Linked DNA regions of Oryctolagus cuniculus. The protein of the gene in region 1 purifies or fractionates together with the protein of each later gene. This does not show direct contact. Links are inferred from orthologs where the notes say so. Each region holds a gene or a part of one and is shown on either strand. Other genes may lie near its edges.

What was found.
Region 2: the proteins of PTCD3 (region 1) and Y-box-binding protein 1 purify together in Homo sapiens (co-immunoprecipitation; 4 studies listed by BioGRID and IntAct, with this or other methods). This does not show direct contact. The link is inferred for Oryctolagus cuniculus from reciprocal best matches to the Homo sapiens genes PTCD3 and YBX1.

What each region holds. Positions count from the first base shown.
Region 1 is NC_091433.1:116,615,361-116,619,179, reverse strand, and holds part of PTCD3 (small ribosomal subunit protein mS39), read left to right. Parts: intron 1-283; coding exon 284-390; intron 391-1,811; coding exon 1,812-1,890; intron 1,891-1,985; coding exon 1,986-2,076; intron 2,077-2,703; coding exon 2,704-2,789; intron 2,790-3,211; coding exon of another isoform or gene 3,212-3,249; coding exon 3,250-3,398; intron 3,399-3,819. UniProt on the Homo sapiens protein: Mitochondrial RNA-binding protein that has a role in mitochondrial translation.
Region 2 is NC_091434.1:59,356,824-59,360,488, forward strand, and holds Y-box-binding protein 1, read right to left. Parts: upstream 2,231-3,665; 5' UTR 2,216-2,230; coding exon 1,202-2,215; 3' UTR 680-1,201; downstream 1-679. UniProt on the Homo sapiens protein: DNA- and RNA-binding protein involved in various processes, such as translational repression, RNA stabilization, mRNA splicing, DNA repair and transcription regulation.

The DNA.
Region 1 (3,819 bases):
TGTTTCCCAAGAGGGAAACCTTGTAACTACGCTGTGGTTGTTTCTGAGTTACTTCCTGGGGTTTGGGTTAGTGAGCATTTCATGTGTCTTCCGTAAGCTTAATTTCTATAGGTATAGTTGCTAAGCTGAAATAATTCTCCCCAGTGTTATAATTTACTTGCTGTTAACCACCAGTTTGAATAAACATAAGTATTTTCACATGCACGTATCCTTTTTTCTTATGCAGTGAGCTGCTGTTCAGTTCAAAGGATATCATATTAATACCTTGTCTGCACATTTTCAGTGCTCATCGCTCAGAGATCTAGAACTTGCTTACGAAATACATGGCCTTTTGAACACTGGAGATAACCGGAAATTCCTTGGACCCGATTATCGGCGTAATTTCTATTAGTAAGTGTATGAAATGTATCCCTGTGCTTTCATTAGTAGATTCTACTGTTGTGCCTGAGTGAGTGAGAGGAGCACCACACATGGATAAGATTTGATGGCTATGGAGAGCAAGCAGCTCATGCCCTAACTCTTGACCCTGAGGCTGAAAGCAACAGGGAGACAAAAACCACAGGAAGGGAGGGGGGAATATGTGGTTATAAGGGTCAAGTGGACCTAAGGCCCATATGAAACAAATAACCAATGTCAATTCTTACAATCTTAACATTAATCCAGGTGCAGCCTATCTGTTTTAAGCTTGAGCAATCATGCTAGGGAATTTCTTTGTTCTGCCAGGTGGATGAGTGTAGATCAAAGTTTCAGACCAGAGTTTAATGGTGGGGGATGCTTTCTTAAGATGGAGTCTGGGCCGGCGCTGCGGCTCACTAGGCTAATCCTCCGCCTTGCGGCGCCGGCACACCGGGTTCTAGTCCCGGTCAGAGCACCAGATTCTGTCCCGGTTGCCCTTCTTCCAGGCCAGCTCTCTGCTGTGGCCAGGGAGTGCAGTGGAGGATGGCCCAAGTACTTGGACCCTGCACCCCATGGGAGACCAGGATAAGTACTTGGCTCCTGTCATCGGATCAGCGTGGTGCACCAGCCGCGGTGGCCATTGGAGGGTGAACCAACGGCAAAAGGAAGACCTTTCTCTCTGTCTCTCTCACACTGTCCACTCTGCCTGTCAAAAAAAAAAAAAAAAAAAGATGGAGTCTGGGATGCTCTAAAGTGGAGCGCCTACACTCAAGCTGTTGCTTCACTACAAATGGGAGGGTGTTGGTGTAATCCACATTTCACCTCCAGTTTCAGAGAGCCGACCTGTGATTTAACAGTATGCGTTAATTGAGCATTCTGAAATTACAGCAGTGGTGAGATTGCCAGGTTTGAAAGTCTAGTATCTTTTTCCTCAGCCCTCTTAATATTTGATATTCTTAATTATAGGAGGATGTGTCTTTAAAGGCTTTGTTCCAAAACTGCTTGCTTTGGTAATGGTAAAGACACTGGAGCCCAGAGAGGCTCCTTAAAGTGGGCTTGCTTGTAGGAGGATAAAGCTTGAGCTTAAGGAGTTAGCTGCTCGTGGAAGTGTGAGAATTGTTTCTTCTATGTGAGAAAGTCCTTATTCACACTGAATGCTTTTAATGGGATATGTTCCGTGTCTGCTCACTGGGAGCGGATACTGCTGAGGAGGAAGCAGTCATAATGACTAGTTGATGTTCAAGTGGTATTCATTGTAAAGGTCAGTACCTGATCCCGTGTAGGCCATTGAACTTGATACTGTTTATAAATACTTGAAATTTTCTAACACATCGTCATATAACAGAATTTCAGTAATTATTTTCTTGTTGTTAGACATAGGGATTTTATTTTAAGCATACTTTTTCTCTCCACAGTTCCAAGTTTTTCAGTTTGCTTTGTCTAATGGAACAAATCGATGTCACCTTGAAGTGGTACAAGGACCTGATACCTTCTGTAAGATGATTTGTATATGTCACTTACCATTGTAGATGAACTTTTAACTTTCCTGATTGCTGCTTTAAAAAATAAATTTGTATTTCTCTCATCAGGTTTTCTTTCCCAGCTCTCAGACATTGATAGATCTTCTCCAAGCATTGGATGTGGCCAATCGACTAGAACTGATTCCTCAAATTTGGAAAGGTAAGTAATCAGCTTTGTGTCCAGGCCCATCTCAGTTCAGTGTCCTACCGTTTGATTATTGAACATGTTAACTTTGTTGGGGTGGAAGTTTCCATTTTAAAGTGGAATAGATTAGATCTGCTTCAGTTACTTGCTGATACTGGATAACATGAATAAAACTGAAATAAAAACTAAAGTCAGACCCTTCATGACATAGGAACTAGCTAAGTTCTGCACAGCTGTTATGTGACATGACCCAGAGAAAAACACGGTTAGCCTGAAGTCTGAATGACCTCAGAGCCTCTGTACGAGTGGTGTTTCACTTCGGTCCAGTTGCTAATGAAAGACCCTGATTACTGCATTTCTTAACTAGCAACCATGACTGTGATATGTGTGTTGGTCTGTTGTGTGTGGATGAATTGACTCAAAACTAGGTGATTCTATATTATCAGTCAGCTTTTGTTTCTATTAATCACCCTGCTTGTTTTCTGGAATCTTCGGATAAAGCTAGAATGGCTACCATCAGCAACGTTTTTTACCCACCAAAAACGTTAAGAATTACAGCTAACAGTGATCTGATGTCAGCTAGAAAGGGTATTGGTTTTACTTGATGGTGACGGCTCTCTCGCGTTCCTTTTTCATGTCAAGATAGTAAAGAATATGGTCACACTTTCCGCAAAGAACTGAGAGAAGAGATCTTGGAGCTCATGGCAAGAGATAAGCACCCACCAGAGGTAGGGCTGCAGTGTCACTGTTCTTGTTGATGTGTGCTAACAGTGTATCCTGTAACAGGGAGGCCCTTTTAAGGATAGTTTCCATGGTTTCTTCTATCATTATGGAGAGCTCTGCCATCCAAACCCAAGTGTACATTCTGGTGCACCTAAACGAACCTGCTGTCACTGTCACTGCTCCAGTCCAAGCAGGCAGCATGGAAACTGCTGCTCTGCTCTGACATGAATAGCAGCTTGCTTCTTAACACTTTCCATCTGAAAGGAAGGCGCATGGTTGAAGTTGAAAGGTGTGGGTAATCGAGTTGTTTATCCCACAAGAGAGTCTGCTTTGTCTTTCTGCTTGCTTACTTGTGTGGCATGTTACAATGGATTGCTCAGAATTTTATGGCCCTCTGGTAATCTCCTGAATGTAAATCCTCTCACAGCACTTAAGGCAGTTCTGCTGACTCTCAGAGACTCTCAGCTTCAGGTGGCGTTTGCTGATTGTGCCGCGGATATCAAATCCACGTATGAAAGCCAGGATGCCAGACAGACTGCTCCCAATTGGCCAGCCAGTCCTCTCAACTGTATAGCTATTCTGTATTTAAGGGCTGGAAGAACTCAGGAAGCCTGGTGAGTATACAGTGTACATTAGAAGCATCTGTGTTTGCATGTAAAACATATACCCAGGACAGTGAGAAGAGGTTCTCTAGTTTGGAGGGGAAGTTAGGTATATCAACAGCCATTCTCAAATGTATGAGGATTGTTTTATTTAATAAATTAAAGGTAGAGAGCAACAGAGAGGGAGAGAGCACTTTCATCTGCTGGTCACTCCCCAAGGAGCAGAACAGTCAACTCTGGGCCAGGCCAAAGCCAGGAGCAAGGAATTCTAAAAGGTCTTCTGAATGGGTGGCAGGGGCACAGGCCATCATCTGCGGCCTTCTCAGGCACATTAGCAGGAATCTAGATCGGAAGTGGAGCAGCTGGGACTTGAACCGGCATCCATATGGGATGACAGCCCTGTAGGCGGCAGCTTTACCCGCTACACCACAGC
Region 2 (3,665 bases), on another chromosome or scaffold:
ATATTTTATTTTGAAAAAAAAATTTAGTATCATGGTCTCAGACTGGCTTATCCAAATCCAATGACCACTAATAATCACGCTCTTTAGTTCATACACAATAACAGCCTACAAAGGCCAACCACTTCTGTCCTCTATTATTTTACTTCTATTCTATTTAATTCTAGTCTAGTATGAAGTTCAACACAGAGATAAATGTTCTTAGGGAGTAGTGTCACACTCCATGGCTGCAATTTCATAAATCTAGGTTGATCCTGACTCACTAGTGGACCTCAGAACTCTACAAAAACCGGGTCACTGTGAGCTTGATTCTAGGTTCAAGGTCTCTGCGAGGGATCTTTATTCCTTCTTCAAAATCCTACAAAAGCTCTACACAAGTCCTTTTAATAACTGCAGCAGAAAAATATAGCCCAACTGACATATTAGCAAGCATAACTTAGAGGAAAAGTTACTCTTTAATCCCTAATAATTATGATACACTTACTATTCACAATTCTTACACATGACATCACAATGAAATATGTATTATCATCATTCCAACTTTACAAATGGGGAATCTGAAACAAGGACACAAACATCACACTACCAAGAGTGGGAGGAAGGGTTCAAACTCATACCCTCAACTACCACCCTGTGCTTCTGTACAAAGGATCTTCAAAAAGTTCATGGATAATGTGTATTATTTTTTTTTTATTTAAGACCTTTATTAGCAGGTGCTTGCAGTTTGTTGACTTTTTTGAAAAAATCAAGTTGTAAACTTTTATTACAAATTAAAAATGAAGTTCTTAAAAATCTCAACTTGACCAGATATGAAACAATTTAAAAACCTTTAAAGGTGTATTGAGAAAAACCAGGCTTTTTTAAAAAACACGTTTGTCGTTACCAAAAAGAGACATCTTTAGGTAAAAATAATAAAAACCCCATGCTGCATAGATAATGCAGATAGTTCTAGTAATCTGGTCAATGGGCAAAAAGCAAGCACTTAAGGTCTTCAGCTCCAATCTTTTGTTCATTTCTTATTGCTGGAATTTCATATTCATTTCTTCTTGTTGGATGACTAAACCGGATGATGGTAGAGATGTTAAGCCGGCATTTACTCAGCCCCGCCCTGCTCAGCCTCGGGAGCGGACGAATTCTCAGCTGGTGGATCGGCTGCTTTTGTCTCTTTGCCATCTTGTGGTTTAGGGTTATCTGGGCGTCTGCGTCAGTAGTTGAAGTTGCGGCGGTACCAACGCTGAGGTGGCTGCTGACCCTGGGTCTCATCTCCTTGGTTTTCCTTGTCTTCTTCATTGCCGTCCTCTCTAGGCTGTCTTTGGCGAGGAGGACCTCTGCGGAATCGTGGTCTATAACCCCGATACATATTCTGTCTCACTGGTCTACCTTGTTCTCCTGCACCCTGGTTGTCAGCACCTTCCATCACTTCTCCCTGCACAGGAGGGTTGGAATACTGTGGTCGACGCCCATAGGGTCTCCGCATGTAGTAAGGTGGGAACCTTCGCCTGCGGTAGGGCCGGCGTTGTTGGGCCTGGCCTTCGGGAGCGCTCTCCGATCCCTCATTCTTTTCCCCACTCTCACTATTCTGGTAATTCTGCTGGTAATTGCGTGGAGGACCCCTACGACATGGGTAGCGTCTATAATGGTTACGGTCTGCTGCATATTTACTGCCTTGCACTGGAACTCCACCAGGACCTGTAACATTTGCTGCCTCCGCACCCTTTTCTCCTTCAACAACATCAAACTCCACAGTCTCTCCATCTCCTACACTGCGAAGGTACTTCCTGGGGTTATTCTTCTTTATGGCAGTCTGGTGTACAAATACATCTTCCTTGGTGTCATTCCTGTTGATGAAACCATATCCGTTTCTTACATTGAACCATTTTACTGTTCCCAAAACCTTCGTTGCGATGACCTTCTTGTCCCCGCCGGCGGGCGCCGCCAATGTGAGGCTGCCCAGGCCACCGCTCCCTGCGCCGCTGCCCGTGGTGCCGGGCTTGGTTTCCACGGCGCTGAGGGCGGGGGCGGCGGGCGGCTGCTGGGTCTCGGCCTCGCTGCTCATAGTTGCGGTGATGGTGACTGGGGCCGGCTGCGGCAGCTGAGGCTCCTCCCGGGGTGTGATGGTAACTAGGCCGGCGGTGGCGGTGGGGCTGCTCAGGGCTCTCTGGGGTCCGCTCTCCGCTCCCGCTACCGATCGAACTATGTGTATTATTTTTAAAAACATGCATTTCAAACATGTTTGTACCCAGATACTTCTCTTTAAATTCCACTTTCCATGAACTTTGAGGTTGCCTCATACAATGATTTATCTTTAGTGCTCTTCCATTTTAAGTATCAAAATATCAGCATTATTAATAATCCTACACAACATTAATTCTATTTCTAAATAATCTACTACTGTTTCAGCCTACTGTCGCTCCCCCTCTTCATGGAGGAACGACACTAAACCCTGCCTAGGCTTCATATCCGAGTCACGGCACCATTATGTCGCTCCCCGTCTTCGTGGAGGAACGACACTAGACCCTGCGCTGTTCTTTTGTCTGCTCGGCCCTCCCCGGGTTTGCTGCTGGTTCTTCCCAGGTTGGCTACCGTCCCTCCCACCTCCGTGGAAGGGCGGTTCCCCCTGCCACTTTCCCCACTTCCGCGGGGGAGCAGCACACCGCCAGCCGGCTCTCTCGGGGGCTGCACAGGTGTTCCTCTTAGATGTTCCTGGTGCATGTTGTCTCTCTCCTCCTTTATAGTCCTCTTCCACCAATCCCAACTCTGCTACCCACACGCCGAGTATGCTGCTCTCCTCCAATCAGGAGCAGGTCCTGCTGTTTATTGGTTGAACTGGAGGCAGCTGAGTAGAAGCTGTTTACTCCTCTCCCAGCGCCATATTGTGGGAGAGCAGATGCATAGAATAAGTCTTAATTCCAGTAACAGTCTAGTCTGAGTTGCTCCCCACAGATCCCCCTTTCTTTTTATTTTTTGGCGTTGATACGCGCCTGTCTTCGGTGCCCCGTGGCACACACTCTGCTCTGCTTGCTGGAGTTGCCCACAGGTTCTTACAAGTCCTATCAATCAGGCAAACCGAATCCGGGTCCTCTCTTCGCCATGTTGTGAGGTTTTTAGGCGCTGATGCGTGCCTGTGTTCGGTGCCCTGCAGCGCATGCTCTGCTCTGCTAGAACTGCCTGCAGGTGCTTACAAGCCCTACCAATCAGGCAAACCGAATCCAAGCCCTATCATCGCCGTCTTGTGGGGAGACTTATTGGTGTTGATAACGTGCCTGTCTTCGGTGACATGCAGCCGCTCACAGGTGCTTATCGTCTTACTAATCAGGCAGACCGAATCCAAGCTCTCTCATTGCCGTGTTGTGGGGAGGCCTTTCTATTTCTCTATCTCCAGGCATTCCTATTTCTCCTATTTTACTTCTATCTGCCAGCATTCCTATTTCTCTCATTTTACTTCTATACTTCTATTTCTCTTATCCCTGCGGCATCCCGGCGCCCGCCCCGAGGCTGCTTCTTGGCACCTTGCCCCGCAGCGGCTTCCCGGCTCTGTGCCACTTCCCGGCTTCGCGCATGCTCCGCGGTCTCCGCTCCCCTTCACACCCGTACCACAGCCTTGCGCTAGCCCCACGTTCCCTATCTATTCGTGCCCCGCACGCTCTCTCTGCGCGCGGCAGCTTCCG